Lonchura striata: one gene and its partner. The protein of the gene in region 1 purifies or fractionates together with the protein of each later gene. This does not show direct contact. Links are inferred from orthologs where the notes say so. Each region holds a gene or a part of one and is shown on either strand. Other genes may lie near its edges. The genes, in order: FLII and LRRFIP2.

Region 1 (14,806 bases):
CTCCCCACCCCATCCTACCAGGCGCATCTCCGGCATCAGATCAGCCTTCAGCCTCTTCTTGTGCTCCACAGAGAGCTTGTAGTTGACCTGGGGAAGCTCCAGGTAGCCCAGACCGAGGCCGACCTGCAGAGGGGAGGGGGACAGAGGTGAGTGGGGGCTGCAGGACCTCAGCAGGTGGTGGCCCTGTGGATGCAGCTCCCCACCTTGTACAGTTTGGGTTTGTGGGGCTGGAAGTCATCGGGGACACAGGGTCGGATCTCCTCGGGCTGGCCCCCCAGCACCTCCCAGAACTCGGGGGTCTCCTGGCCCTGGGTGAGCAGCGTGATCTCGGCCTTGCCCTTCCGCTCGTTCTTGTTGATCTTCTCAGCGAAGAGCCTGCGGTGGGAGCACATGAGATGGCAGCTGAGCTCCCCACACCCCGGCACCCCCACCAGCCCTACCTGGCCTTGGTGGTGCTGCTCAGCGTGGCCTGGCTCCCACGCCACACCAGGAGGTTGAGGCCATGGTCCAGGAGGAAAACAAACCTGGAGGAGAGAGGTGAGAGGGGTCAGGAGAGAATGGGGAGTGCTGGGCATCCTCCCCATCCTGGGGATCCCTGCAGGGCACCAATGTTTGAACCCATGTTCTTGTAGAAAGGTGCTGGCATAGCCCATTTGCACCACAGAACTGCAGCTATAGTGTCTCAGGTGGATCCTGCTGAACTTTCTGTAAGGTCCCTCTGTCCCCTGGCCACTCACCGGGGGTCCAGTGATGTCCCTTTCAGTGCCACCGGCTCCAGCTTGACATTCTTCTTCCCATAGACACGGTAGAGCCTGGGGAAGGGACAGCCGTGGTGGGACATGGGGCACTGCCTGCTCCAATCATCGCCCCAGCCCCTGTCCCCAGCTGTACCTGGTGACGTACTGCGTGTCCTCTACGGTGAAGAAACCACTGGCTGTGCCACCCTCGATGTAGGAGATGTCATTGTCGAAGACCTGGGGGCATGGAGGGGTGAGGCTGGGACAGGAGGGGTCGGGGGTTACAGGGGAGCTGGGACTTGGCCTCACCTGAAGGAACTCTTCGCTTTCATCCCCCATCTCCTCCCGGATGCTGCGGCACTCAGCCCCCAGGTAGTTGCGGAGGTTGACGGCGTGGATGGCGGAACAGGCCTTCTTGTCCAGTGTGGCCTCCTGCCCGATCCAGTAGTAGATCTCCCAGTTCAGGGAACCGTTCTCATCCAGGAAGGTCTGGGAAGGACAAGGGTGTGAGATGGGATGGCTGCAGCTCCTGGCAGGGGATGCAGGGGACCTTTGGTCCTCCCGGGTTACCTTGAGCACGATGTAGCAGTCGGCTTCGTAGAACTTGCCGTGGAAAGCCTCGTCCACCAGCGTGGGCACGAAGTTCTCGATCTGCCAGACACAGAGGCCGGGCAGCTGCCCCACGTCCTCGCTGAAGAACTCCGAGTAGTCCAGCTGTGGCTTCTCCAGGCCCTGGTCCCAGCGCCGTGTCTTCAGATCCGGCGCCTTCGCCTCCCCACTCTCCTGTGGGACAGGAACAGGTCAGATTAGGGACAACCAGAACCCAGCTGGCAGCCAAGGTAGGCCAGGGACACTGTGATGCCCTCAGGGCCCTTCTCCCACCCCAGACCCTACCTCTATCTTCTTATTCTTCTCCTGGGCCACATCCGACATCCCCTTCAGCACCTGCTTGGCCTGGTCATCCTGGGCAGAGTCCTTGCGCCGCCGGAGCCGCATCTTGCGGGCCAGCGGGTCCTTGGTGCCACTCCCTGGGGACACAGGGACGGGGTGAGAGGCGGCCACGCCGCCCGTGGGGCACCCCACGGAGCAGGGCTCACCCCCCAGCCTCTGCCAGGTCCGTGCCAGGGCAGGGAGGGACCGCGTGCCCCCCTCCCTGCACGCGTACCCGCGGCGGCAGCGGCGACGGTGGCGGGGGAGGCTCCGGCCAGGCGGAGCTGGTTCTGCAGGGAGAAGTCGATGTTGTACCACTCCGAGGAGCGATCCGCCGGCTTCGGGGGCATCACCAGGTTGGGGTTCTCGCGCACGTCCAGGATCTGCCAGGGAGGGCACAGAGACCTCGGTGAAGTTCGTGCTCACAGGGATATTTGGAATGTGGCATGGGATGGAGACCTGAGGGGATGTGGAGGGAATCCATGGCCTGCCTGGGCTGACATGTGGCAGATTGCAGGTACTGGCCCTGAGCTTCCCTGCCCTCACCTCATCCAGCCCACCCTACAGCCCTGGGGTCCCAGGGAGGTGCTGGGGCTGTGGTGGAGCCAGCCCAAGGCAGAGAAGCACTGGGTGCCCACCTCCACATCTGTCAGGAAGTGGATGGCCTCTGGCAGCGTCACCAGGCGGTTCTTGTTCAGCACCAACTTCCTCAGCTTGGAGCACCTGTGGGACGGCGATGCTGGTGACAGGCCAGCCCAGGGTGACCTGTGACCACAGAACCTCTGTGCTCCCTCCTGGGGACACAGCAGATCCAGTGGTGTGTTCCTTACCTGCACAGGCTCTCAGGGATGAGCTCCAGGTTGTTGTTGGCTGCCATGAACTCCTCAAGGTTGGTGAGCTTGCCAATGCCCGAGGGGATCCCATCAAAGTCCAGCTTGTTGGAGTTCAGGTACATCTTCTTCAGCTTGGTCAGCTTACAGATGGCTGACTGGGGAAGGGGGAGATGGTGGGGTGAGGGAGAACCATGGAACCACGAGCAGGGATGGCACAAAAGGGCAGGTACATACAGGTAAGGAGGTGAGCTGGTTGCGGGACAGGTTGAGGGTCTCCAGCTGGGTCCACTGGTCGATGCAGAGGGACAGTTCCGTGATCTGGTTGCTGCTGAGGTTGAGGCGCCGCAGGCTGCCCAGGGTGTAGAGACACTCAGGGACACGGCTGAGGTCATTGCAGGACAGGTCCACATCTGGGGACAGAAACAACGGGGTGACACCACCAGCCAGACCAACACTGGGGTTGGGAGAGCCCCTGGAGGGCTCTGTGGGGCTGGATGCCCCAGCCCTACCTGCCAGGTTCACCAGGGCCTCGAGGCTGGTGGGCAGGTTGCTCTGCGTGCGCTGGGTGTTGCGGAGGTGGAGGGTCTGCAGGGCCGTCATGGCCGGGAGCTGCCTGAGGACCAGGGAGAGCCACAGGGCAGAGGGAGTGTCAGGATGGAGCAGGGAGCTCAGTGCCAGCCCTGCCAGGCTGGGAGGCAGCCCGGGGAGCGGGGCCGTACCGCAGCTGCGCATGCAGGAGGGGGTTGTTGTTGAGGATGAGGGTCTGCAGGTGCACCAGGCGCCTCATCTGTGGTGGGAGACTCTCCAGCTTGTTGTCGCTCAGGTCCAGGTAGAGCAGGTCCGTCAGGTTGATGAAGAGCTGGTTGGGGATGGTGTCGATGCTGCAGGGATGTGGGGAAATTCAGGAGTGCCTAGGATCTGCACCAGCCCCGGATCTCCCTCGAGGAGGGGCAGAGAACAGGACCCAGAGCAAAATGTGGCCATGGCCAGGATGGGGAGATGGTTATTCTAGCCTGAACCCACCTGTTGTGGCCAAGGTTAAGGACCAGCATGTTCTTGGCATTCTCCAGCTCCCTGGGACACTCTGTGAGCTGGTTGTAGCTCAGGTCCTGGGAAAGGGGGAGCACAAAGCAGTTGTCACCCAGCCACCACCACCCACACCTCCAGGGAGCTGGACCAGCACACAGGGAACCCAGGGAGCCCTTCCATGGCATCAGCCTTTAAAGGAGACATTGCCAGAGGGTCACCCTGCCGACAGCCAGCTTCCCTGGAGCTCAGCCATGGGCTTGCGACTGCTGCTCCCAAGGAACACAAGGAGCCACCACGGTGCAGCAAAGGGACCCAGGAGTCTGAGCTGGCTCCTGTATAAGCTGAGAAGAATCTGCACCCACCAGCACCGAGAGGTCATCCAGCTGGAAAATGTCATCAGGGACTCCCGAGTTCTTCAGGCTGTTTGCACGAGCCACAATTGCCTGCAGAGGGGAGAGAGGCAGGAATGCAGCTGCCTGCGGAGCCCCCAGGGTGCCCAGGTATGATCTTGGTGTGCCCTCAGATCCCAGAGGTGCCTGGGGACCCCTGAGGCAGGAGGGGGACACTCACCCGGAGGCAGGGCAGGCCGGAGAGCTCTCCATGGAGCGTGGTGAGGCTGTTGTGGCTCACGGAGAGGTGTTCCTGCAGGGAAGTCCCAGACAAGCCCCAGTGAGCAGAGAGAGGAGCTGGGGCTGTGCAGGGCAAAGGCTGTGCCCCAACATTGATGTGGAGGCTCCTCCATCCCAGGAGAGTTGGGGACTTGTCACCCACAGAGCTGCTGGGACACTCCCAGTCTCAAACTGGTTGGTTGGCCCAGTGTGCCTGCGCTGCCTCCACATCCCTCATCCCCTGCACACCTCAGCCCTGCCGTGGGGTTTGGGGTGCTCTGGGATGCCCACACAAACAGATCCCAGTCCTTGGGAACGGGCAGACGTGGGCACTGCTGGGGTGGGAGGAATTCCCCTGGGGAAATGTTTTCCTCTGAGCATCACCAGCCCGGCTGTTGCCTGCTCAGGAACACACGGCATTGGCAGGCTGTGGGTGGGATGCCAGGATTTCAGTCTTGCTGTGGCCCCCGAGCACCTGGCAGGGCTGGCAGGAGTGGCACTGAGGGATTCCCTGGCAGCGATTAAAGCACTCAGTTTGTGTGACACGGACAGGATGAGGTCCCTGATGTGCTGTGGACACCACCAAAGCCAAGCTGAGCCTTGACTCCAGCAAGGGCCTGGGTGAACCACCCGAAAAACAAAGCCAGACAGCTGCCAGCTCCTGCTTTTTACATACTTTAGCAAAGAAGAAGGAAAAAAAGCCCCCAAACCCTTGATTGTCCCCACTGTAACCATCACCCTTCCCTTCTACTACAGGGTAGAGGATCTAAGCGTGGTTTTTAATCTGGTTTTCTAGGAAAACAAGGTGAAACTGAGAGCAAGCCCACTCCAAACCCACTCCTGACAGCTCCTGCATCCCATTTCAACCACACATTGCAGCTCAGTGCTATTATTAGACACTGGAGCACCCGCTGCTGAGCCACGAGGCTGGCAGGGAACAGGCTCCCGTGGGATCCTACGGTCCCAGCGGGATAGGGGAGCCCCATTCCATCCCAGAACACGGGGCTCACCAGCTTCTGGAGGGCAGCGAGCTCCTCGGGCAGGTAACAGAGCCCCGTGCGGTTCAGCTTCAGCCAGCGCAGGCTGGTCATCGCCTTCACATGCTCCGGGAAGTACCCGCCCTGCGAGGAGGAGGAGGAGGAAGAGGGTGAGGAAACACCTGTCCCACGGGATGAGGATCTGGGGACCTCAGTCTGATTGAGGCTCTGTGGTCATGGGAGGTCTGGGATCGTGCAGTCCTATGGGCTGGAAAGTGTGGGGTCACGATGACCCAGTCCTAAGGGACTGGGAGCTGTGGGGTTGGGATGAAGCAGTCCCATAAAATTGGGAATTAGAGGGCTGGGATCACCCCGTCCTAGGGGCCTGGGAGCTGGGGGCCATGGAAACCCAGTCCTACGGGACTGGGAGCTGGGATCGCCCGGTCCTATGGGAGCGGGAGCTGGGATCGCCCAGTTCTACGGAACCGGGAGCTGGGATCGCCCAGTCCTACGGGAGCGGGAGCTGGGATCGCCCAGTCCTATGGGATTGGGACGGATCACCCAGTCCTACAGGATCGGGAGCTGGGATCGCCCAGTCCTATGGGACTGGGACGGATCGCCCAGTCCGATGGGATCGGGAGCTGAGATCGCCCAGTTCTACGGGACCGGGAGCTGGGATCGCCCAGTTCTACGGGACCGGGAGCTGAGATCGCCCAGTTCTACGGGACCGGGAGCTGGGATCGCCCGGTCCTACGGGATCGGGAGCTGGGATCGCTCAGTTCTACGGGATCGGGAGCTGGGATCGCTCAGTTCTACGGGATCGGGAGCTGGGATCGCTCAGTTCTACGGGACCGGGAGCTGGGATCGCCCGGTCCTATGGGACCGGGAGCTGGAGGCTCGGGGATCTCCGATCTCCCTGGGACCCCCTGGGCTGAGGGCCGGGTTGCTCAACCCCAGCGGTTCGATGTGGGTCAGGGATCGCCCCCGCAGCGCCCACAGCGCCGGGACCGGGACTGCCCCAGGTCACCCACCCCGGGCGGGGCCGGGGCCGGGCTTCCCCTGCCCCGGGGGCCGAGCCAGGCCTGACAACCCCGCGGGGCCCGGGCCCGCTGGGGCGCTGCGGGCCGGGCTGTGCCCCGCTCCCGCCGCCCCGCACCTTGAAGTCGTTGCCGCTGAGATCGACGCCGCGGACGAAGGGCAGGACGCCGGTGGCCGCCATGGCGGAAGCGCGGGGGGCGGCGCGCGGTGCCGCGCCCCGCCAGGCCCCGCCCGCGCCCGCCCCGGCCGTGACGCGCGCGGCGCCTGGCGCCACTTCCGCGCGCTGTGGGCGGGGCCGCGCCGCCGCGCGCTCCCATTGGCCGGGGCCGCGGCGGGAGCGCGCGCGGAGCGCGGCGCGGGGGCGCGCGCGGGCAGCGCCGGGCCCGGCCCGGCCCGGTCCGGTCCCGGTTCTGGTTCTGGTGCCGGTGCCGGTCCCGGTGCTGGTTCTGGTTCTGGTGCCGCCTCCCCTCCGTCAGTAGGGTCGGGGGGGGGCTCCCTTCCCGCGGGCCGCGGTATCGCCCCGGTGCCCCGCGAGGCTTTGCGGTAGGGCTGGGTGAGGAGCGGGTGTCCCTTCCTTCCCCGGGATGTTTCCTTCCCCGGGGTGTCCCTCCCTTCCCCGCGGTGTCCCTTCCCTTCGGTGTCCGTCCTTTCCTTCCCCGGGGGTGTCCCTTCCTTCCCTGGGTGTCCCTTCCCTTCGGTGTCCCTTCTTCCCTGCGGTGTCCCTCCCTCCTTGCGGTGTCCCTTCCCTGGGGTGTCCGTCCCTTTTTTCCCGGGGGTGTCCCTTCCCCGGGTGTCCCTCCCCGGGGTGTCCCTTCCCCCGGTGACCCTTGCTCCCTCGCCGCACCCAGCCGTCCCGCCGCCGCCGGCGGGAGCCTTTATCCCGGAGGAGAGCGGGCCGGCGGAACCCTTTGTTCCCCAAACCATCCCACCCTGCGGCTGTGCCTGTCCCGGGGTGACAGGTCCCCCAGCCCGGGGTGACTCTCCTGTTCTCCGCAGGGCGACCATGGCGGCGTTTTGGCAGCAGCGGGGCCGGCGGCAGGAGAGCGGCGGGCTGGGCGCTGTCCTCGACGGGCTGGGCAGCGTGTTCGATGTGCTGCTGGCCAACGCCAGGCTGGTGCTGGGCGTCAGCGGCGCGGCCGTGCTGGCCATCGCCACGCTGGCTGTCAAGAGGGTAAGGCTGGGTCTGGGAATAGAGCACCAGGAGATGCTCAGGAGGGCTGGGTTGGTTCCAGTGTGGTGGGGCAAGATGTGTCCCAAATTCTTTATGTTCTCTCCTGAGCTGGTTCCTTGCACGTGGCACAAATGCCACGGGTGCTGGAAGCAGTGCCGTGGACATGGAGCTGCCTGCTTCCATCCTGTGGGACCATGTATGCATGTTCTGTTTGCCTGGAGCATTTTGCATACAGTATCCCATCCCAAAAGGCACCTGGGACCTAAATTGTATTTGGGAATCTGTTTTCCATGTAAAACCTGCAGGAAGATGATGTGCACACTCATGGCCCCCAAAACTGGGTGTTTTTCTGAGCAGAAGCCTTGAGTGGGGCTGTCGCCTCACCTGTAATTCATGGAAAACAAAGATAACATCTTGTCCTCTTGGCTTTTCCTTCCCTCCAGCTGATCGACCGAGCCACCAGCCCTCGGGATGAGGGCGACCCCAAAGCTGAGCAGAAATCCCTGGAGGAGAGCTGGCAGGACTTGGCATTGATCAAGACAACACCAAAACCCCCCAAGAAGCAGAGAAGGGAAGATCTCAGTGAGCCTCTGCTCTCTCCAGCTCGGCCTCTGGTGCCAGGTGAGGTTCCTGGTGCCCAGGAGGATCACCTTGGTGTGCTCCGGGAGCTCCACGTTATTTTTAGCTCGCTGTCGGAAAGCCGAGCCCACTGAGCCTGCCCTGCTGGGAGGCTCCCAAGCCACGGCCCCTTTTTAGGCAATGCCAGCGGAAACAGGACCTCTGGTGACATCCGGAGTGGCCTGGCAGAGGGTGTTGGGGTTTGTTTCCTCTGGAGCAGCGTTGGCTGTGCTAGTTTTCTGGGTCAGCTGTGCCTGCAGGAAGGTGTGCTCAGGAGCTGCTGCAAACAAAGGCTGCCTTGTCCAGCTGCCCATGGAGATGGAGCTTTTCCAAGTGGGAAACTGGCCCAGTTCAGTCCAGGGCATGTCCTGAGATAATGGACCCAGAGCAGGATTGTCTGTAGGATCCTCATGCGAGGGGCAGGCACTGATCTCTCTGGTGACCACTGACAGGACATGAGGGAACAGCAGCAGCTGTGTCAGGGAGGGTTTAGGTTGGATATTAGGAAAAAGATTCTTCCCCCAGAGGGTGCTGGGCACTGCCCAGGCTCCCCAGGGAATGGTTGTGCCCCCAAGGCTGCCAGAGCTGCAGGAGCATTTGGACACTGCTCTCAGGCACAGGGTGGGATTGTTGGGGTGTCTGTGCAGGGCCAGGAGTTGGACTGGATGATTTTCGTGGGTCCTTTCCAACTCAGTGTATTCTGTGGTTCTCTGACCCTGGCAGCAAGTCCCTTGCCTGGTTCCCATCTCTGGCTGAGGAGTGAGGCTGGGAACAGCCAGATTTGGGGTTGGTTTGGGCTCTGCATGGCTGAGAAGTGCTGTTAACATCAGTGAGCTCAATGGGGGCCCTTGCTGAGGTCGGTGTCACCTCCAGAGGGGTGGGCTGAGAGCTGGGCACCCAACTCATGCCTTCCCCTCTGCTGCTGAGGCTTTCAGATGATGTGCTCAGAGCTGTGACTTCTCCTTTCCCTTCCCACAGATCCCAGGGGCTTCTCTGCCTCTCTGGGGGCTCCTCAGGTCAAGCCCAGCCCCCTGCGCTGTCTCACGCTGCAGGAGAAGCTCCTCTCACACAGCAGCCAGCTGGCCGTGCCCGAGATCCAAGTGTCCCTCGTCCCACAGCTGGCCAGGAGCATCTGCACCCAGCTGCAGAACTTCCTGAGGAGCAAGTGCCCGGAGCTGCCCTTTGGCCGCCTCTTCCTCAGCGGAGCCCTGCTCGATGGCCTCGAGGTCCTGGCAGCTGACCACATCCACCTCATGCTCCCGGTGGTCCTCGACGCCGGGCTCTGGAGCCTCATCTCGGGAGAGGACACCGTGGTGAGGAGCCCCCAGTACTGGATGATCAAGAGGATCGATCTGGGCTACTTCCCTCGTGGGTGCAGCCCCTGGGACAGGTTCATGGTGGGCCGGTACCTCTCGTCCAGCGTGATCAACGAGACCCTCCACAAGCTGCTGGTGGCCTCCATCAACTGGCCTGCCATCGGTGGCCTGCTGGGCTGTGCCATCCACCCTGTGGTGGCCTCCCGGGAGCTGAAGCTGGAAGTCAAACATGATCAGGTTGATCTGAGCATCACCCTCTTCCCAGTGGTGGAAATGGAGGACAAGGTTCTTCTGGCTGTTCCTCCTGAAGGACTGGTGGAAAACCTCTGGCTGGAGAGTTTTTACAGGGCGGAGGTCTCGAGGGTGAAGGAGCTGGACGCTGGTGACGCCGGGGCTCGGCAGCTCTGCCTGCGCATCCTCAACAGCATCTGCAAGAGCCAGCCCAGCCTGCACAAACTGGGGGGCAGCCCCATGGCCCATGTCATCCTGCACCTCAGTGACACTGCTGTGGACTGGGCAGAGGAGAGCCTTGCTGACAGGTTCCAGCAGCTGCTTGAGGAGCTGGTGGCTTCCCTGGAGAAAGGAGTCCTGCCTTGCTATTTCAACCCCAAAATCAACCTGTTCTCCAGGCTGTTGGAAGAGGAAATTGATGAGATGGGCTTTGTGCTCTACAGGGCCATATCTGAGCCAGAGGTCCTGCTGAAGTGACCGGTGTGTTGGGAGCTCCTGAACGTGGGGGGGTTGCTCCCTGCCTGCTGCTCCCCGCTGTGAGGGCTGTGATGCTTCTAGTTGACTAGTCAGTAAGAGGCAAAGTTCTTGCACTTTATGAGGAAAAAACCGGTTTCCTGTGTGAATAAAGCGTGCCTGAGCAGAGGTGGGTGCTGGCAGAAGGAGCCTTGGGCTCAGAGGCTCTGCTGAACCCGGGCTGAGGGCAGCCCACGCCACACGTGTGAGTTCTGTCTGCTGGGAGCCCAGTGAAGCATGTTTGGTCTCTGGCTCCCAGTGTCTTCTGCCTATCCCAGCTGTCAGGTTGCCCCTCAGGCTCTGAGAGTAGCTGGAGAGGAGCAGCCCCTTCCTGCTGCTGTGTCCTGCAGAGCCCTCAGGTGCCACGTCCTGGGCTGGTCCTGTCACCAGCACCCTGCGTGGCCTCGCTGTGCCAGCACTTGGGGCAGGGGGAGCCTCACCCACCCGCAGGATTTTGCCAATCCCAAATAAACCCTGTGGATGAGCTGGGTGCTGGGTGGTACAGCCATAGCAAATGGGGGATGGGGGTTATTCCTTGGAAACCCTTCCAGAAGGGGCAAGCTCAGCCCTACCTCTTTGTTCTGACAGTGTTGATGCTGCCCCGAAGAAGGGGCCCTTGTCCCATGCAGTGTTTTCCTGGAAGATGTCCTGAAAAGGAGCTGCTGGCTCTGGGGAAGCTCCTGGTTTTTCAGCTGGAGGCTGCAGCAGGGCTGTTTCCCCTCCCCAGTGGGTGGGTGGCTGCCAGTGTCTGTCTGCAGGTACCTGTCCCCTCCCAGTCTGTCTGGTCACCTTTTCACACTTGTATTGCTGCTGTCTTGAGGTCCTTTTGCCCTGCAGCCCCACGGAATGGGGTGGGGAAGCAGGGTAGGAATGATGTTGTGAGCAGAGTGCTTGCAAGAACTGAAGCGGTTTATGCTTTTTATTAAGAAGATATATTTTGTTTGGGTATTTTGTTGTTTTCTTTTCCTTTGAGTGGCTGCTAGTAGGGTTTGGTCTGGCTCTAGTCCCAGAGAAAAGCAATTTATTCTTATATTTAATGGGAAGAGCTGGTTTTGCACGCGGGTGGAGCTGGAGTAATTCTGTGGACTTCACTGTGAGCAGCTGTTGTGGTTTAGTTTTCTTTACAGCTATCATCTTGTTTATGGGAGGAAAAAAACCTGCTTTTCCTCCCAGTCTGACAATTCCTTTGTTCCTCCAAACCACTTCCCAGGTGTTATGATGAGAATAAACCTTCCCTGTGCACACTGGTTCTCTGGTGTCAGCTCTCCTTTGTCTCTTTCCCCTGCTAAGGGTTGAAATGACTCCCAGCTGTGTGGCCTTCCTGGGAACCACCTAAGGTGTGTCCCTGCTGCCTGGAGAGCTTGGTGATGGTCAGATCCCACCCTGCAAAGTCTTCCTCCTCCTCTTCCAAAGCCGTGGACCCACAGAGTGCCTGGCTGCAGTGTGGGAGCTGTCTGGGCACTGACCTTGTACCGCTGACAGGGCTCTGCTGAGCGTTGAGCAGGGTGTGACTCCTCAAGCTGGTCCAGGCTGATCCACCAGCAGGGTTTTAACCTGCTCCCTGTGTCCTGCACAGCTGCTTCCCACTGCTGCTGCCATTCCAAGGTGGCTGGCCAGGCTGCTGCCCTGCCTTGGCTCAGTGGCTGCATTCCAAAGCCCTGTAATGCTGTTATTTTAGCCCAGGCTGTGTATTTTTAGGCCCCGGCTGTTAATGGTGGGAGTGAGGGCTACAGGGAAATGCAACCCAAATTCTCCTGACTTTCTGCATGGATTTAGGCCTGGTAGCAATGGACTGCTGCAGGGTTTCTGGCTCTCTTTCTGGCCTGTGCTGCTGTGGGCTCTGCTTCCAAGTGCTCCAGCCCATCCCTGCTCAGTGCTGACCCCAGGAACTGCTCCGTGCCCAGGGGCAGGACCCTGAGCAGCCCTGGAGCTCCTGGCAGCAGAGCACACGGGAATCCTGCAGCTCTCCCTCCTTTGATCAATAGAGGAAACCCCAACAGAGAGGGGAGAGGCAGCCTGGCTTCCCAGGGAGTTCAGTCTGAACTCAGAACAGGGAAAACAGAACTTCTCTTCAGCTCAGCCAGCTCTGTCTGTCTGTCCCAAGTCAGCAGATGCAGCTGGTGAGATAAAAACCACTTTTCCCATCTCTTTGTAGCTCACTTCTAAATTGCTGTGGGGAGTTTCTGCCAAGAAAGCTCCTCTATTGTTCCAGTGGTTGGAAAGAGCAAGATTTGGCTGGATGCTTTTACAGTAGAAGCTTCACTATTTTATGTAGGAGGAAAATTAGGCAGATTTAAGGTGTCACTGCATCAAATTTAAAATTTAAATAATATTTTAATAAGAAACTCAGTGGTTTGACAAAAATAACTTTCATCAGCTAGCAGCATCACAAAGGCATGTCTCCAGGTTTGAGGAAGAACCTGCCTTCAAATTCAGGAACCATCTAAAATGAGGGCTTTTCCTGAGCACTGCAGCTGAGCTTCTCCCAGGGCTCAGATCCAGCTCCTCTGCACCTGACCCTCCTTCACTGGCAGGAACAACCCAGGTAAGGGTGACAAAAAAGGGGAATGTTGCTCAGGTAACATCAACTGAGAAGGGAACTTAAATTCCACACTGTGGAAAGCCAGGGACTGAGCAGAGCTTGGCAGCCCTGGTGTCTGTCCTGGTGGCCCTGATCCAGCTCTTCCCTGTGTGGAAAGGCCAAGAACAGCCACCAGGATGGTGCAGGGGGATGTTGCAGTGCAGTTTCCTCCACAGCTTCCAAGTGCTTCCTTGAAATGTTCAGAGTTTCCCAATCTGCTCAGCAGAAGAGCAGCTGGAAACAAAAATTGGTAGTGGAACCACTTTTTCAAGCTGGTTGAACCCTTCCTGAAACAAATGGCATGCCTTGGCAGGAGCAGCCTGCAACCAGCCCCTCCAAAAAGCACTCAAGGGACTTGTTCCCAGAGTCCAGTTCCTTGTGGCTCCTGCAGAGCTGACAAGCCTGGTCCTTGCAGGCTCTCAGAGGTCCATCCCAGCTCAGTGGTTCTGAGGGCAGGTTTTCCTTGTGTGCCCAGGCTGGTGGCAAATGCTGCAGGTCCGTGGCTTCTTGGCAGCAGATGCTGAGAGATTGCCTGGTCTCTTGGCCTTGCTTCCCAACCCTCTGGAGAATCCATTGCTGCCAAAGTGGTTCAAAGAGTCATCTCCAGAAGGGCCTAGAGATAAACAAGCTGAATTTAAGGATCTTTGAAAACATGAATAGGTGAGAAACACAAGGTAAGTTCAAAATAGATCAAAGATTCTCAGATTATTCCTGAACCTGCATTGCTTCAAACTTGTCTGAACAGTGAAGTGTTACCCATTTGTCTTGCAGCATTAGAGACATGTGGGAGCAGCACAGGGGAAGCAGCTAATCTGCCTGCTTGCATGCTCTGCTCTGCAGCTGAAGCAGAGAAGAACTTGGCAGAGAAGAACTTGGGGTTTAAGTAGTTTAGAAAACTCGATTTTACCCCTTTAGGCCCAAATGTCTGAGGAGGAGGATCTCTCACAGACCACATCTTCCCCTCTGTACCTGGATATGTCTCTTTTTGTCAGTTCTCTCTCTTTTGCACTCTTGTTTTGTCATTATTTTTTTTTTCAGAATCTTTCCACACAGTTTCATCTCTGATCAAAGCTCCAGAATGATTTGCCCTTTCCCTGTACCCCTAAACTAAGGCAGAGGTAGAAGCACAGTTTCCCTGCCATGCCAGGTGGGTTTGAATGTCTGCAGAGAGGGACACTCTATCACCTCCCTGGGCAGTTGTTCCAGAGCTCTGCCACCCTTAAGGTAAGTAAGTTCTTCCTCATGTAGAGGTCAAACTTCTTGTGTTTTAGTTTCTGGCCATTGCTCCTCATCCTGTCACTGGGCACCACCAAAAAAAGCCTGGCACCACCCTTCCCTGAGATATTCACATGCATTAATGAGATCCCCTGTCAGTCTTCTCTTCTCTAGACTAAACAGGCCCAGCCCCCTCAGTCTTTCACCATCTTTGTGGCCTCCACGGGACCCTGTCCAGCAGCTCCTTGTTTTGCTGAGCTCAAGAACAGCCTGCAGCCCTGGCGTGTGCCCCCAGCCCGGCCGTACCTGGTGCCACGTTCTCATCTGCCCACTGGAAGAAGCCGCACTGCTGCTCCCGGGGCTTGGGGCAGGTGTGGAACTGCCGCCCCTTGTTGGGCCCGTCCTTCTGCACGGTGCGCGTCACCGCGGGCTGCTCGCACCGGCACACCGCGCCGCCTCCGGCCTCCGAGCTGCTGCTGCTGCTGCCCAAGGGCTCCCTCCCTCCTCCTGCCCGCTGCAATCCCGCTGGGGCTCTTCCAGCAGTGGGCTGGAGCGGCGTGGAGCTGCCTCTGTCCTGCTCGTCAGCCCAGAGGAAGAAGTTGCAGGTGCTGGAGCTGCACTTGTAGAACTGGCGGCCCTTGTTGGGGCCGTCCTTGCGCACGGTCAGCAGCAGCGCCTCGCTCCCACAGTTGCACACCACAGCGTTCCCGTCGTCTGGAGCAGCTGGAGGAGCAGCCCTGGGGGTCCTGGAGGAGTTGATGGAGAGCAGGTGTCCCCGTGCCAGGTTTGAGGCCCCCCTGGCTTGCCTGGTCTCACTGCTGGCTCTGTTCAGGGAGTGGTTGGCCTGCAGGTGATGCCCTGGCTGGGAGGTGGATGACGCAGGCTGGGATGATCTGTGCAAGTACTTGAGGTCTAAAAGCTCTTTCAGCATCTCATCACAGCCTCCAATGCAGCCAACGAACTCCAAGGGCATCACAGGGGGAACGCTGCCTTTCTTGAATTTAAACTT
Region 2 (14,917 bases), on another chromosome or scaffold:
CTTTTAATTAGGCTGATGTATGTCAGAGTATTTAATTTCTTGTTACAAAGTTCAGTACTACAGAAACCTAGACATATTGCTAATATGCTGATTAGTCTAATACTATAAATATCATTATGTTACTTCTCAGGAAAATATAAGATATCAATACTTCACATACATGCAGAAATACTTCTGGGATGTTTCACTTCAATAACTTTCTGACTACACAAAAAGTTATTTTCCTGCATGGTACATGATGATTTTAAAAAATTAAGATTTTAGCTGAGGGTTAGAACCAATTTATATTGAAGTTAGATACACCAATGATAGGTTAATGATTATTAGATGCTTAAGCTAAAGCTAATTGTTATATTATGAACTCATTTATAGAAGGAAGTGGAGCAAGTGAACCATTATAGGAACATATTGAAAACAGTAGAACAATGCCCAGCACCTGGACTCTACGTTAATCCATCATGAAGCAGGGGGCTTCAGACCATGGCAGAGGGTAACAGAGACCTGGCAAAGACCTTCCTGACTTCATCCCTGGGACCACTGACCCAATTCAAGAACAGAATTGCACATGTATGAAGTACTAATAACCTCATTTTAATACAAAGTGAGGATGGGATGTGCTGGGGTGATGCATATGCATTATTATGGGAAATAAATAGAAAGCAAAAATCCTTGTGTGATGCAGTTACACATTTAGGGGATGACCCTCCCCCCCTCCCCCGTGCCACCTGCCAGCATAATGAACATACCACTTTCTGACTTTAACTAGTTTCAGTTTTAATGATTCAATGGGATAAAGAATTTTGCTGCAGGATGAGATAAAGAATTTAAAACATGCTGTCACATTAGAATTTTCATAAAAAATAACTAAAGAGACAAATATAACCAAGACAAAACCAGACAAAGAACAGTTTGCTATTGTTATTTTATGGTTTAGAAAGATAGATACAAAAGGAAAGAACACTATAATATCTGCTGCATTTACAGTTAAAAATTCTTGAGGCATGCCCATTTCATGCCTAATTCTATAGGCATGGTAACACATTGTATTACACAACTGATGAAGTCACATCCTGTTGCGTTTCATTCCAAAACACAGAAGTGTCTGAAGTCCCCAAACAAAACAGAAGACCTATGACAAAATCTGTCAAATGCCCTCTCATTTGTCTTCACTTCCGGCATGTATACATTTTATCTCTTCCACAAGTCTTTGCTGTCTAGTCTTCTTCATATCACCTTCTGACTAAAGGTTCTCCTTGTTTCTTTTTTACTTACCAGAAAAAAGTCTGATTTGTCTTAGAGGAAAAAAATAAGCTACACTACAAGTTCAGGGCCTATCACTCACTGCCTTCCTGGGTGTATGCCAGCATATTTGGCATTACATACATAGGATCCAGATACCTTAGTGTGAACAGGCTATAAATAACAGACCAAAATTCCCCTTTTTTCCAAGATCAGTAAAATTCACCCGTGTAGACACCATCTCTGTATAATAGATTCAACAACAAAGAATGACACTTCTCTAGAACTAATGTCTTTCAGAAACAGAATATGAATGCAAAAGTATTAGTACTACAACAGTTGCATTCATAATTGAGAAGGAGCATAATCATATTGGCAACCACAATCTTGTTGCTCGATCTTCAATCTTTGTCTAAGTAAACTTCAAAGGAGACAAAGTAAATAGACATAGAAAAATTTTAAATTATGCAAGACAGATGTAAGAGTCTTCTTCAGAAGAAAGACCCCATACAAGGGTACTCTTTTTGCAATTAATGTTTGCTCATAGGTCCAAAACCACCCATGCAAGAAAAAGGGCTGCAGGATCACAGGGTGACCATGACCCAACAAAGGGACATGTAGGAAGAGATAGAAATACATTAGGTTTTAATGCACTGAGAAAGAAATAGACTGAGTTTTAAAGTGATAATGAGTCCTTAAAAGGACTCATTTGAAATTTTCATTCAGAATAACCTAAGAACTATTACCACAAAAGAGCTGCTACTATGAGTGAAAGAGGCTAACATTAAAGAGAAAATGCAAAGACTGAGAAAAACATATAATTACAATCTGCCAAAACATTACAGTGCTTACCACTATCTTGGAGGCAAAGTTATTCCAGCTGATGAATAGTGTTTCTGTTTTAAGAACCTGTTCATCTCTAATCATGGCCCACTTCAAAAAGTGTTAGCATAAAGTTTCTGCTCTGAGTGGACAGGCTTACGTTAGCTTTTTCAGGAAAAAAACTTACTCTTTAGACAACTGCATAATTCACCCCCTTAATGCAATGTATTTGCAGTTTATTTGCTGTTTTAAAATCTGAGAAATACAATTTCTTAAGAGTTCATTTAGCAATAGAATTACAATTCCTTAGAGGGAGTTGAAATCCCTCAGTTTGTTGGTGTTAGGAAGTTAGAGACCAACAGAAAGTCCCCAGTTAAAACAATCAAAAAGCCATCATGCAGCTTGCAAGAGTCTGCAAGTGCCTGATGAACCCATGAAGTGTAACAGTGCCTGACTAGCATTGGCACACATAAAGCATTGCAAGACAGTCAATGTACTAAAAGCATCCTACAGCCCTGTAGAACTACGAGACGCCTCCAGACCTACCAAGCTATCTTTGGTGACCTTCACCAGTCTTTGCAAATTACCAAAATTCCAAAACAACATCTTGCAATTTTAAGTGGTGGCAACTTGTTTTATGAAGTATGAGTTCTCTGCCAGTCAGTTGCCAACAGCTGCAACTGGATATACCATTACTGCAAAAAGTATATTACATACACAATATTATCATCAGTTACAGGCAGCATCTGGAAAGCTCTTATAATGGTGACTCGCCAGAGGATCTCTCAGGGCACAATATAAAACATACATAACTTTCAGAAAAGCAGCCTAACACAGATTGACTTTTCTAGAATCAGTGCTACTACAAATGCTGAAGATCCAGGAACAAACTAAGAATTCAAATGGAACTTTAAAACATAAGGGGGTGACAGTACTAAAATCAGCACAATAAAAGAAAAAAAATGAAAACACAAAATAAAAAAAAACCCCACAAGGATCCAGAAGTGTTTACTCTAAAATGAAGCAAGCATTGTTTTTATACTATCAGCTTATTCAAAATTAGTACCCTTTCTGTCATTTTGCAAAAGAATGATTCATTGCTCATTAAAAAACCAAACACTGTTGCTATACTGAAGCTCCACTTTTTTTTTTTTTAATGAAATGGAGTGCCCCATGGTAACAACCCACATTCTGTAATAAGATGCAACTATTTAAAATATTTTTCCCCCATCAATTTAATAGACTCCTACACTCTTTCCTACTCATGCTATGGTTACAGTACAACGAAGAAGAGCTACTGCAGCAAGTGAAAAAAAATTGTCCTGGGTACCTCTTAGAAGAAACAGCAGTTGGAGGAAACTATCAGCTGACATCATTCCTACTGACTAGTTCTCTGTTATGGTATCAGAGTTGGTAGGCTTAGAAACACCTATGTCCACCTGACCTTTCTTCTGTAAATACCCCGTCACCTCTTTCCTTAAAGCAGACCTAATACTGCTATCTTAGCTCAAGGAAATGTGAACTTTAATATCACCTTCACAAGCAAACAGTATTACTTACATAAACTATCTTGCAGAGCATGTAATGCATAAACACAAACTGTCCTTTACATACAATTACATGTTACCTAGTTTCCAGATATTAAGAAAATCTAATTACTGTCTCAAAATGTACTTTTAGCATTTTTTGTAATGCTACTGGACTGATACATTACTATCACCATACATTTTCACATTAGGATCTTACAAACAACAACACAGTATCAAATCTGTTAGTTATTTCTTAGCCTCTGCTTACATTATGTACCAGAGCTATTCAATTATGTATGATACTGATCTAAGTGGTTTTTTGGTATATGCACATGCCAACTTGTGTGCTATGTGAAAATCTAGACCTTAATAAGCTCTACAGATCCTCACTACACAGAGTCTAACCAGCACTTTCTGAAAGCTTACATGTATTAAAGTACTATGCCAACTTCTGAGAGAATGAGACTTTAAAAAAAGCTCCTCTGGAGTCAATTCATGTGAAATACTGGTGTTTAGGTCAACAAGCTACACCTGACACATTTCACACAACCATCTTCTATTCACACGTTTCCAGTTACAGCCAAGAATTCAGTTCAGGTAAGACTGACTTCACAATAAGCTAAATACCTCCAAATCAAAGTAACAGAAAACAATAGGAAAATTATGTCATGTACGTCAAACAATTTTGTACTGCTAAGGCATCTTTTATCTATTCTTACATCATCACTAAGCAATTACATTAATCGAGGAAGCAGATGTATATTAAGAGGGTAACTGTTTCTGGGCCACCATACATTTAAATATATCATTTCACAATCAAGACACAATGAGCATTTAAAGAGCTCAGACAAACACTGATTTAATATTATACTTTGTAGCAAACCTCTCACCTCGCATCTCTAAAGATGTTTCACCCTAATAATGATATTTTGAAGGGAGAAAATTGATCCTAGACCTTCCTAATTTCAAGCAAAAAATGCCTGTAGCTCTGTCTAAAATGAGAAAATCACTGAGTATATAATATAACAGCACTACTTCATCTACAAAATATTTTTATTATCAGTGAAATTCACAACACTGCCCTTCAAAGAGTCACGCTAGGATTCAAACTGAAAATCACTTATAACACATTGAGCAGACCACAGTCCGGAGCTGCTTTTGGGCTCCTTCCAAACTCATGAATGTGCTCATCACTCTTATCATCCTCAACAACGTTATTTACAATTATCGCAATAGGGTATGCTAAAAATAAAACAGCGTGCTCCAAAATAAATTTTAAAAAACCAAAGGACTAAGCATCAGCAAGAGTGACCGACTCCGTGCGCAGCTCGCTGCAGAGGGGGCACGCCCTACTGTTCCGGGAACAGCGAAGCCGCCGTAAGTGCTCCGAGGAAGTAGGAGAGAAAAAGGCACCGGAATACACACAGCTGTGATTTCTGCACATACTCCTTTTTCCCTCATTCCGCCGTTTCCACTCAGCCCCCAAGGGGCGCACGGAGCTTCCCGGGGATCGGAGGAGGGATCGCGCCCGGCGAGCCGCAGCAGCCGCCCGAAGGGCTCGGGCCGGGCCGGGCTCGGCTGCCCCCGGTCCGCCCGCACGGAAGGGGCCGCACGCTGCCGCCCCGAGCTCCTGCGGCTGCTCGCCGACCTGACCGACGAGTTCCGGCTGAGCCGCTCCTCCAAACCTGAAGAACCGGGTTCCCGCCCCGCTTCGTCCCCGCGTTTTGTGTCCGTGACACCTTCCTCCTCCCGGCCCTCGCCCTGACCCTGCCTGGGCCCCACAGAGCCTTACCTGCGGGCCAGCCTGCCGCAGAACCGGGACGCTCCAGGAGGGACGGGAATTGTTTCACTCTTCCCTCCGCCACTTCCAGGGGTGTGGGGGGCTCGCAGATCCCGGAATCACTTCAGGCTCCTTCCTTGCCTCTCTCCCTACGCCTGGAGATAGGGGAATGCTGGCAGAAGCCGCCCCAGGGCAACCACAGTGCCCGTCAGACGCGGACCGCCCACGGGCCGCGACAAGGGACCTGCTGCCTCACCTGACGCTCTCCACCGTCCCCTACCCCCGTTCCCGTGAGGGGCCGGGGAACCCGAGCTGCAGGCAGAAAAGCCGCTCCGCTCCAGGCCGCCCTTCTCTTCCCCGCCCCGCGCGCTTGCCTCCTCCCCTTCAGCGCCAGGCGCTTACGGCCACATCGAGAACTCGAGTGAGAGACTGCGGCAAATTTCAAACCGCCTGCAGGGCCCTGCGGAAGGAAGAAGGGGCCGGCGCTGAGCAGAGGGAGAGAAAGCGAAAGCCCGACAGCCAGACTGCGGTAGACACCGAGACCCACGCTGGCACCGGCAGCACCGCACTGGCCCGGCCCCCGCACAGGCCGGGGGCGCAGCGCGCAGGCGCTGCGGAGGAGAGGGCGGGAGGCCCGCGTGCGCAGAGCGGGCGCGGCTGCGGCGCCGCGGGGAGCCGCGCTGGGCGGCGCCGCGGGGAGCCGCGCTGGGCGGCGCCGCGGGGAGCCGGCCGAGCTGGGCGGCGCCGCGGGGAGCCGGCCGAGCTGGGCGGCGCCGCGGTGAGCCGAGCTGGGCGGCGCCGCGGTGAGCCAGCCGAGCTGGGCGGTGCCGCGCCCCGCCCGGTCCCGCTGCCATGGCCCTGGCGGCTGATGGGCTGCGGGAGTTCCGGGTCGGCGTCAGTGACTGCGTCCTGTGGCGGCCTTTCAGCCTAGGGAAGGCGAGGAGGCGATCGGAAGGAGCAGCGCCCGCTTCTCCTTTCCTCAGCAGGCAGCGAAGGGAGGGGGTCGTTGTCTGTAGCGTGTCGTACTGCAGTGCGCGCTCTCCGCCTCGCCCCCCCTTATCACCGGGCAGGCTGGCTCACTCAGTGCTGTGGCGGGTCTGAGACCGCCTGCCTTGTGCTTCGTTCCCGGGTTCGGCTGGGGCTTGTTTTTATTGCTCGGCCTTCCCCAGGGAGCGGCCGTGCGAGAGCTCCGGGAGACCGTGGCCGCCGCTGGAACGGCGGCGCGTCTCGCCTGCATCAGCCGCGGCGGGCTGCGGGGAGTCGCCGTGCTCGGTCGTGTGCCCAGCTCCCACCGCCTGCACATGGCACAAGAGCGTTTCGGAAGATTTGCTGGATGGGTGCCGGACAAGGTTTATTGAGTAAAAATCGTTCGTGGACATTGGCATCTTCGCTAAACACGACCAGACTTCTGTAATATCAAAATTTATATACAAGTAGCCGGCATAATCCCCAAGGATAAAATACAAGTGAAAAAGAAATTATTGTACCATCAGATATATTGCGGTTTATACACAGACAGTCATGAAAATTGATGAGATTCTGCTGTGAGATAGACTTGGGATCACACGGGTAGTAATTTGCTTTCCAACACCTCTGTAGTTAAATGCAGGGTGTCTTAAGAGTGTAGAGATAATTAGAGGAGATGGCATTTTGTATGTTGGAAATCACATGGAAATGAAAAAGCACTGTTAAAATGACAAGCATGGTGGTAAGACTAAAAAACATGCACCAGATGGAGTTCAAATGTCTTACTAAAATAAGCTTCAGTGGATATGCACAAAGTAAGGAAAAAGGGATATACAAATTATTTAAATCTATCAAAGGAGATGTATAATATATTTCTTGTGTTTCATTAGTATTTTATAATTATCTGTATGAGAAAATCTACACTCTCTCAGTCTTTTTTCCTCATCTGATCATACAGTATAGCCTCACCATCCTTATTTTTAACATCACATTAATTTCTGTAGTAATAGAGGATGATCTCGCTGGAGGAAGGTGAAGTAAAAAGTTTCTCATAGACCATCTATAGAAAAGATGAAAAAAGGTATTGGCTTAAAACCTTAGTTTTTATTTTATATTTATTCTTGCAGAAAGACACACCTGCTGATTTTCTGGGCTTTGTGAAGAATCATCATTAAAAACATCTTGGGCTGTTTTGGTTTGCCCTAGCTGGTGGGAGGAGTCTTTTATTCATTCTTGAGTAGAGGGTTTGTGTAGAGCGTTCTGAAATGTGGCATGTCCCAGGTCTTTTTGGGATCTCTATTAATTTATTCCTGTTAAAGAGAATTTTTTTTTGATCATTTGTACATTCTTCTACAATTAAGTGTTGATTTTTTTTCATACTGCTAGTCTTTTGATATCACAGACTGCACATTTTTCTTTAATGATGCAGTAAAATGTATATCTCCTTGAGAGCAGGCATGCATTTTTGTCACTTGAAAGAGCAATTGTTTGCTTGACTGAAAAGCAGTGTACAGTGCAGTTAAAACAGGCAGTGGTACAGGATGGCACAGTAGCAATTCTGAGTTCAGCATTTTAAATTAATTGCTAAACGTGTTATATACAGTTTCATTATAAATCTTCAATTAGAAGCCAGAAAGTGAAAGTTATGTTTGAATTTTTGCTATGTAATGGCTCAGTTACAAAAGAATCAGTTATGAATATGCCTTGATTAAATTGTTACTGAAGCTAGGATAAAGCTTGCTCTATTAATAGTGAATTTCAGCTAAAAATAAGTAAAGGAATAAATTAAGTATCACTGGATCTGTCTTTGAATATTTTTTTTCTTCACTGTTGTTGTTTTATACAGTAGATTAATATAGATCCCTTATCATATGTAATTGAACTTGCTGATTTACTGTCTCCCATTTCTCTGGAAATCTGTCTCTAAAACTGTTTAGCACAATTAAGGTGTTCTATGGGTGGACTCTTACTTAGTCCTTTTCAGAGTGATTATCACCTAAGAAATTATTTCTAGGATGAATCTGTAAATCAGTTAAATGGAATACTTTGAACTATGTCAATTTTCTATAATAATATGTGTGCAGTTTTAAAAGATTTTGTCACTGTAACAACTTCTATGAGAGAATAAACATATTTACCTCTGCAATGTTTTCTATTTGTGCAGTTCTGAATATCTGTTTTGTTGGTCCCACACTTTAGCATTTCTAATTTTCCCTTTAATCTTTTGTTTCATGATTATTGCACTTTCTGATTAAAAATGTAATAGTGTTGCACACATATAGGATCATAGCATAACTTAATGCTTGATGACAATCTATTTTCCTTTCTGTGTCCTCTCTATTCTTCTCTCTCCCACTCATCCCTTTGTGGAAAGAATAACTTCCAGGTATTAATTTAACTGGCAGATTGGTTTACTGAAGAAGACTCATTTATATAAGAGCATTTAAAGAAATTCTAACAACCTCATCAAATTGTTTCTGTCATTTCCATTTTGTGTCCTTCCTTTCCAGTAGTTTCCATCTCCTCAGTTCAGATGCCATCACTCAGCAATTCATTTGACACAATTGAACAAACTTTATTTTTTTCTTTTTCCTCCCGAGCTGTCGTAGATCCTCTTTTGGAGATTCTCTGTATTGTTAGCTTGTTCACCCTTCCCCACAAAAAGGGTGTTATAATGTGGGGTATTGTGTTTGTTAAAAGGTGATAATGGTTCTGTTTACCAGAAAGGCCTGTAGGAGGGCACAGCAGCAGGCTGGGTGGTTAGAAGTCAATTGCGGGGGGGGATAGACACATGGACAGGTGGGTGGTGAGATGCATGGACAGCAGCATTGCAGTTGAGCAGCCAATAGATGCCCTTCTTCTGTTAAGTTTTGGTTATGTCCGGTGGAAGCTAAAGGTATATAAGGGAGGTGTTTTCTACAATCAAGTGATTTCCTTTGTATGCACAAGGGGGTCCGTGTGTCTTTGTTTCTCATTGCTACGTTATAATACTCCCCTGTGACAGGTGGAAAATCAACTTTTTGTGTCTACACTGGAAATTAAGTGTAAACTGCTTTTGTAATGTAGGGAGCAAGTCTTGCTTTTTTATTTGTTTTGCTTTTCAAAACAATTATTGGATGTGCGTACAGGAGCTTCTGCCAAGCCCTTTCAGTCTTGCCCTCCATCGCCTTTTGTTAAGAGTTTAATTTCTACTAAAGATACATTTCTGTCATCATATATAGCCACAAATACATATTAAATCAGTGTTTTCAATCCCAGCATTGATATGTTTTTTTCAAATTTCAAGAGGAAAAGAAACACAAAAAATGCCTTTTTTTATGTGACCTTTTGTATGTGATCTTCTCTCCACCATTTTTTTAACTCAGAAATTATTAGAATATCTCTACAAAATCTTTTGAATCTTCCACAGAATTTATTGGAATGTAGAGGGACTACTGTCAGACTTTACAGTTTTTGCATACATATAACATTCACCAAGTTGTGGAAAAAAAACAGGCATTCAGAATTCCCAGCTGTTTTTTGTGGACATACACACATTTCACAGCTGTTATTATAAACAATGAAGTTCTAGGTACTGCAGAATGAGTGAGATTTAGTTTTTCCTTTTACCTCATTTTCTTTAGCACTGGAAAAATCTGTAGGATACAGTAGGAATTATGTACATTATATATGCATTTTGATGGGGTTTGGTGTTCTCTAGCAGTAGAACTGCATGAGTTTCCATTCAGTTCCAATCCATTGCATCCTCAGCAGGAAAAGAATTAGGCTGCCTGTTGAATAGCTGTGGGTAGAGGTAACTAAAAAATTTGTATTCCAATGTTTTCCAAAAAAATCTAGACAACTAAGTAAATGCAACCTTTTTTAGAAAATTTCCATTTAAACACAGATTATTTAATTAACCAAACAATTGAGAACAATGTTCTCGATATTCTAGATTTTCACTGTTTTGGTAATTTTTGTGTGCGTGTATTGGTTTATTTCTGTATTTGGAGTATTTTAAATCTTTCAGAAACAAGGTAAGCACTAGAATAATGTGATTTATGTTTAGAATGTGTTTATAGGAAGATTTTTTTTTAATTGCTGTGGATCAGTATCCATGAGTCTTATTTTGAAAGACAGGTGTCTGCCAAGGAAGGTGGGAATCTCCCTTGGAAAAGAAAATGTGACCCCCTTGTTATAAATGGGAACACACTCCCAGTATTTAACTGATTTCAGCATTTTTTATAAGGCCTAAAGCTTAGGGGCCCTGCAGGTCGAGCAGGGGCGTTCCCATCAAGGATGCTGCAGCGCCGGCACTGGATCTTCTTCCTTTCTTGAGCAGTGATGTTCCCGATGTTTTGGGTGGAGTGGCACAGTCTCACTGGCTCAGATGCCCCCTTTTAGAGTGTTTCTTGTTCCTTTGGATTGGTTTCTGTTGGGATCCTTCATTTGCGTGAAGGTTAAGGTGCTTGATTGGCCCTTACACTTCCATCCAGGCTGGCTCATTTTGGCTTGGGGAGGGGGTTGGTGCACTTTACTTAGGTGTAATACGGGACATTCAGTACTATATTTCTTATAACTATCCTTTTAACCTCTTTTACAACATAATAACCAAACTTTTTAACAGTGCATATTTAACAATTATAAACTATTTTACAACAGTTTCTAACCTATTTTTGACACTCTTCCCTCCAAATTATTATAACTTTGACATTACAGGCTGTCAGGCAAAACTATGGGAAAAGGAATAACAGTTCTTTACTAGTGTGTCTGTGTATATATATATATATATATGTATATATATATATATAAAACAAGGCAAACAAACAGCACCAAACAGAAGAACAGAAACCTATTTAAGAGGCTTAAATAGGTTTCTCAGCTGTGGCACTTGCCCCTTTGGTGTAGTTATGGTCACAGCCAGTGCTGTTGGCTCCTGGCCTGGCACTGCTGGTGTGATAATTCCCCTGTTACTACATGGGTTGCTGCACATAAGCCCAGCTGCCTCTCGACTGTTTAATGGCAGCATTGCTGCGGGAAGAGATAGAAAAGGGGCTTCCTTACAAACTCATGGGAAACAGGTGGTCCCAGTGTCCATCCAGATGGCAAAATGGGCTGTAGCAGGAACCTCAGAGCAGCAAGCTGGAATGGCAGAGGCGAGCAGATCCTGGGATAGCAAACAAAATGTAGCAGAAACTCTGCAGCCATAGCAGAAGCCATGTGGGGTTGAAAAGACATGGCGTCTCAAATTAAAGAGTAGCAAAAAACCCAAAGCAGCAAAAGAAAAGAGCGAGACTGGACAGCAGCAGCTGGGCTCCCACCAACAGCCATAAGATACTCCCTTAGTAGAGGAGGGGAAGGGATTGGGGTCTTAGGTTTTCTTCTGGAACACCTGGGTAGATGGTGAGGTCTCAGTTCAATGGCCGCTCTTATGACCAAAGGCTCACTCATGATAAGGAAGAAGCAGTAAAGGACAGAACTCTGCAGTGGCAGGGAATTCTCCCCACAGCAGCAACAGCACCATCTCCTCCTCCAGTCTTGAGAGTGATAGAGAGTGAGGAGCTGAGCCCTCATCCCTCAGCCAAAATCTCATGGTATCTCTGCACTTCCAAAGAGAAAGCCCCCCCAGCTCATAGCACACTGCACTCTTCCTCCTCCTTGCTGGCTACATCTTTTGTCTCTCTTAAGTACCGTTGTTATCTTCTCTTAGGCAACAAATGTGAGAAAATTCCTTGAAACAAAAAAGAAAGAAAAAAAATCCTAACATCCAACATCATGGTTATATAGTACAATTTTAAGCACTGGAGTTTCTGAAAAGTGTTCCAACATCAACTTCTTCTTAAGAATTACAGGGAAGATGCATTATTTTGATCATCCCATTTAGATGAAGGTAAATTATGAAATATCATAACAAGGTACTCTGGTTTGAAAGCAAAAACAGTGAGAAAATCCAAATCGGAACTACATTTTATTAGGAAAAAAAAAAAAACAAACAGAATACATGCAATAATTCAAAAGGAAAACCACAGACAGAGTCAGAATACAACCTGACAGCCTTTTGGTTGGGGTAGGTAGCAGTCCAAATTGGAATGGCTGCAGTCCTCCTGAAGTGGCAGGTGTGGTTCTGTTGGAGCAGTGATCCTGTAGAAGGGTGTAGTCTTGCTCCGAAGGTCCAATGGAAAGACCCAGCTGTTCCTCTGGGAATCTAGTGGAAAGGCAAATCTACTGTCCCAAAAACTCAGATTATATCCAGTTAGTAATGCTTGGCTCCTCCCTCTGGGCAGAGCATCTCACAATGGGATGCTGTAACTTTTATCAGTCATGCAGCGACATTCAATAGGCCATTAACAGCAGATGTCTCCCCGGAGGGAGGATTGGTTGGTGGAAGAGATAAAGAAAACTGCCCAATTAACAGAAGATATCTTCCACAACTCTAACAGATGGCAGATATCTTGCAGAAGGCAAACATCTTGCCTTGCAATCTAGGACACAAGTTTTGTGGATGAAGATTTTTTTTGTTAGTAAAAAAAAATATGAAACAATATTCTAAAATACTATTTCTAAAATTAAATTTTTATTATAAAATTTGGAGATGTTTATACAATACATAGCAGTATATTTAATTTTCACATAAAGCTTTTCCATTCCAGCCAGAGATCCAAGTGTCATCATCCTTACAGACCTGATAGACATACTTCTAGATGTCTTATGTTCTGTTTGATCTATATAGAAATGCTGATAATTTCCTATGCTAAGATCCTTCTTGAAAACTCAATCTAGAAGTCCATTCTATCTATTCTATATGTTCTATATATCCTGAAGAGAGGTTGTATAAACGTTAATTGATTTTACTGATGGTGTACAAGCCACAAAGAATAAATCACTTGCTTTTGCATATTTTGTTGAGCTTGTAAAACTTAAAAGCAGTGACTGTGTTGTGTGAGTAAACATGTATCTTTCAGTATGTACTCATTTTTCTTTGCCACTTTTCTGACTCCCATTATATTTAAAAATTTAGAAATGTCATTGGAATGAAAAGTTTAAATATAAATTTTTAACACATTTATATTTTTATAACACACTAAAATCTAATGACCATTTATTATAACTCTTCTATGCCTGATGTCCCCACAACCCAAATGATCTTCACCTATTACAGTGTTCCCATCAGGTATGCAGAGATAAAGAAATTCTTCATTTTGGCATTTTTGGGCATTTTTTAGAAAAAATAATAAAAATTGAAATGCTCTTATTTTTTTCCTATCTGAAGCAACCAGTCCTTCACTAATCTCTTCAAAATCTCAAAAGCATAGATTCTTCATACAGCAAAAATAGTTTTCTCTAAACCTTCATTTTCTCCAGCAACAAAGCTGATGCTGTGTGATGTATTTTTAAAATAACCAAGTGGGATAACTGACAGCCAGACAGAGAGAGATGCTTCTTTTCCATTAGTGTTGTGACTATGCTGCTCCTCGCAGCTTCAGTTCACTTCTCTGTTGGTCTATGTCTAAGATTAATTTGTGGCATCATTTGAATATGAAGGTGGATTTTCCTTCACACAAGTACTGTTAAAGTGGAGAAGCAAAAGACACTGAAATTTAAAATTCTAAATCTCAGGGTCTGAACTGTGCTTCTGAAATTGTCCCGTTTGTTTTATTGCTTACAGAAAGAGTCAATGGTAACCTTGTATCTTCTTTTTTATGCTTAATCGCCAGCTCCTGAGCAGTTGCTGCCTCTTTAGTCAAAGGCTGCTGTGTATGATTAGCGCTCCTGAGAAAAACAGTCCATTCCAAATAAGCAGATTTGGTTTAATAATTTTGTTTACTGAACTGAAAACCGGAAGGCTGGGAATGAAGCAATATTTGTCTATAAGGTACATGCACCCCAGATCTAGAGCAAAACCAGCTTTGCAGGTCATGTTAAGAAGATAATAGCTGAAACACTTGAAATTTTAGAGGTATCATGCTATACAAATGTTTGTTGGATTTTTGTGAGTTTTTTTAACTGCAAGTTTATATTCTTAGCATTTTAGAGAATTTAGGATTTAGAACATTTAGAGAAATGCAGAGCTGATAGAATTCAAACACTAGGAATCAATGAGGTAGAAGAAAAATGTGAAAAGTTCACATAATCATTAATTTAACTAAAAACAATTAAATAAAAAATTAATTTAAACTAAATACAGTTTAAACCATGTCTTACTTACCTGTAAAACACTGCCTGATTAAATTTGTCTTTAATTTAGTAATTTACTTTATATAGGGTTTTAATAAAGCATATCCACCTGTAATCTGTCTTATGACAATATGTAGATCTTTCCTTCAATGAAATTAATGAAGCTACCAGAAGACTCCAAATATCTAGCTGTAACATTCATATTGGCCAAAGTGAAAAGTGAAGAAATAATTTAAAAATTTAAGCAAATTAATTAAACTACATTAAATTGATAATACTACTTGAATATGCATTGCATTTTAGAGCTTGAACATACTTGCTTAATTTGATATTGTAGCAAATTTATCTTTATGTGTACTTTGTGTTGAATTTTCTGAGGCTGATGGCAGTTGAACCTTTTTAAGCCAGGAGTAAAAATCAATATTTA

The links.
Region 2: the proteins of FLII (region 1) and LRRFIP2 purify together in Homo sapiens (affinity purification with mass spectrometry; 3 studies listed by BioGRID and IntAct, with this or other methods). This does not show direct contact. The link is inferred for Lonchura striata from reciprocal best matches to the Homo sapiens genes FLII and LRRFIP2.

What each region holds. Positions count from the first base shown.
Region 1 is NC_134618.1:15,738,490-15,753,295, forward strand, and holds the start of FLII (protein flightless-1 homolog), read right to left. Parts: upstream 6,378-14,806; 5' UTR 6,334-6,377; coding exon 6,271-6,333; intron 5,259-6,270; coding exon 5,148-5,258; intron 4,172-5,147; coding exon 4,100-4,171; intron 3,973-4,099; coding exon 3,892-3,972; intron 3,610-3,891; coding exon 3,524-3,609; intron 3,382-3,523; coding exon 3,220-3,381; intron 3,114-3,219; coding exon 3,010-3,113; intron 2,911-3,009; coding exon 2,735-2,910; intron 2,656-2,734; coding exon 2,498-2,655; intron 2,391-2,497; coding exon 2,306-2,390; intron 2,051-2,305; coding exon 1,903-2,050; intron 1,766-1,902; coding exon 1,632-1,765; intron 1,521-1,631; coding exon 1,308-1,520; intron 1,227-1,307; coding exon 1,047-1,226; intron 975-1,046; coding exon 892-974; intron 813-891; coding exon 738-812; intron 525-737; coding exon 441-524; intron 376-440; coding exon 204-375; intron 124-203; coding exon 19-123; intron 1-18. Other genes in the region: MIEF2 (mitochondrial dynamics protein MID49), read left to right, coding at 7,156-7,323, 7,767-7,944, 8,920-9,965; TOP3A (DNA topoisomerase 3-alpha), read right to left, coding at 13,020-13,195, 14,104-14,806. UniProt on the Homo sapiens protein: Is a regulator of actin polymerization, required for proper myofibril organization and regulation of the length of sarcomeric thin filaments. It also plays a role in the assembly of cardiomyocyte cell adhesion complexes.
Region 2 is NC_134603.1:102,523,602-102,538,518, reverse strand, and holds the start of LRRFIP2 (leucine-rich repeat flightless-interacting protein 2), read right to left. Parts: upstream 5,991-14,917; 5' UTR 5,627-5,990; intron 5,526-5,626; 5' UTR 5,383-5,525; intron 1-5,382. UniProt on the Homo sapiens protein: May function as activator of the canonical Wnt signaling pathway, in association with DVL3, upstream of CTNNB1/beta-catenin.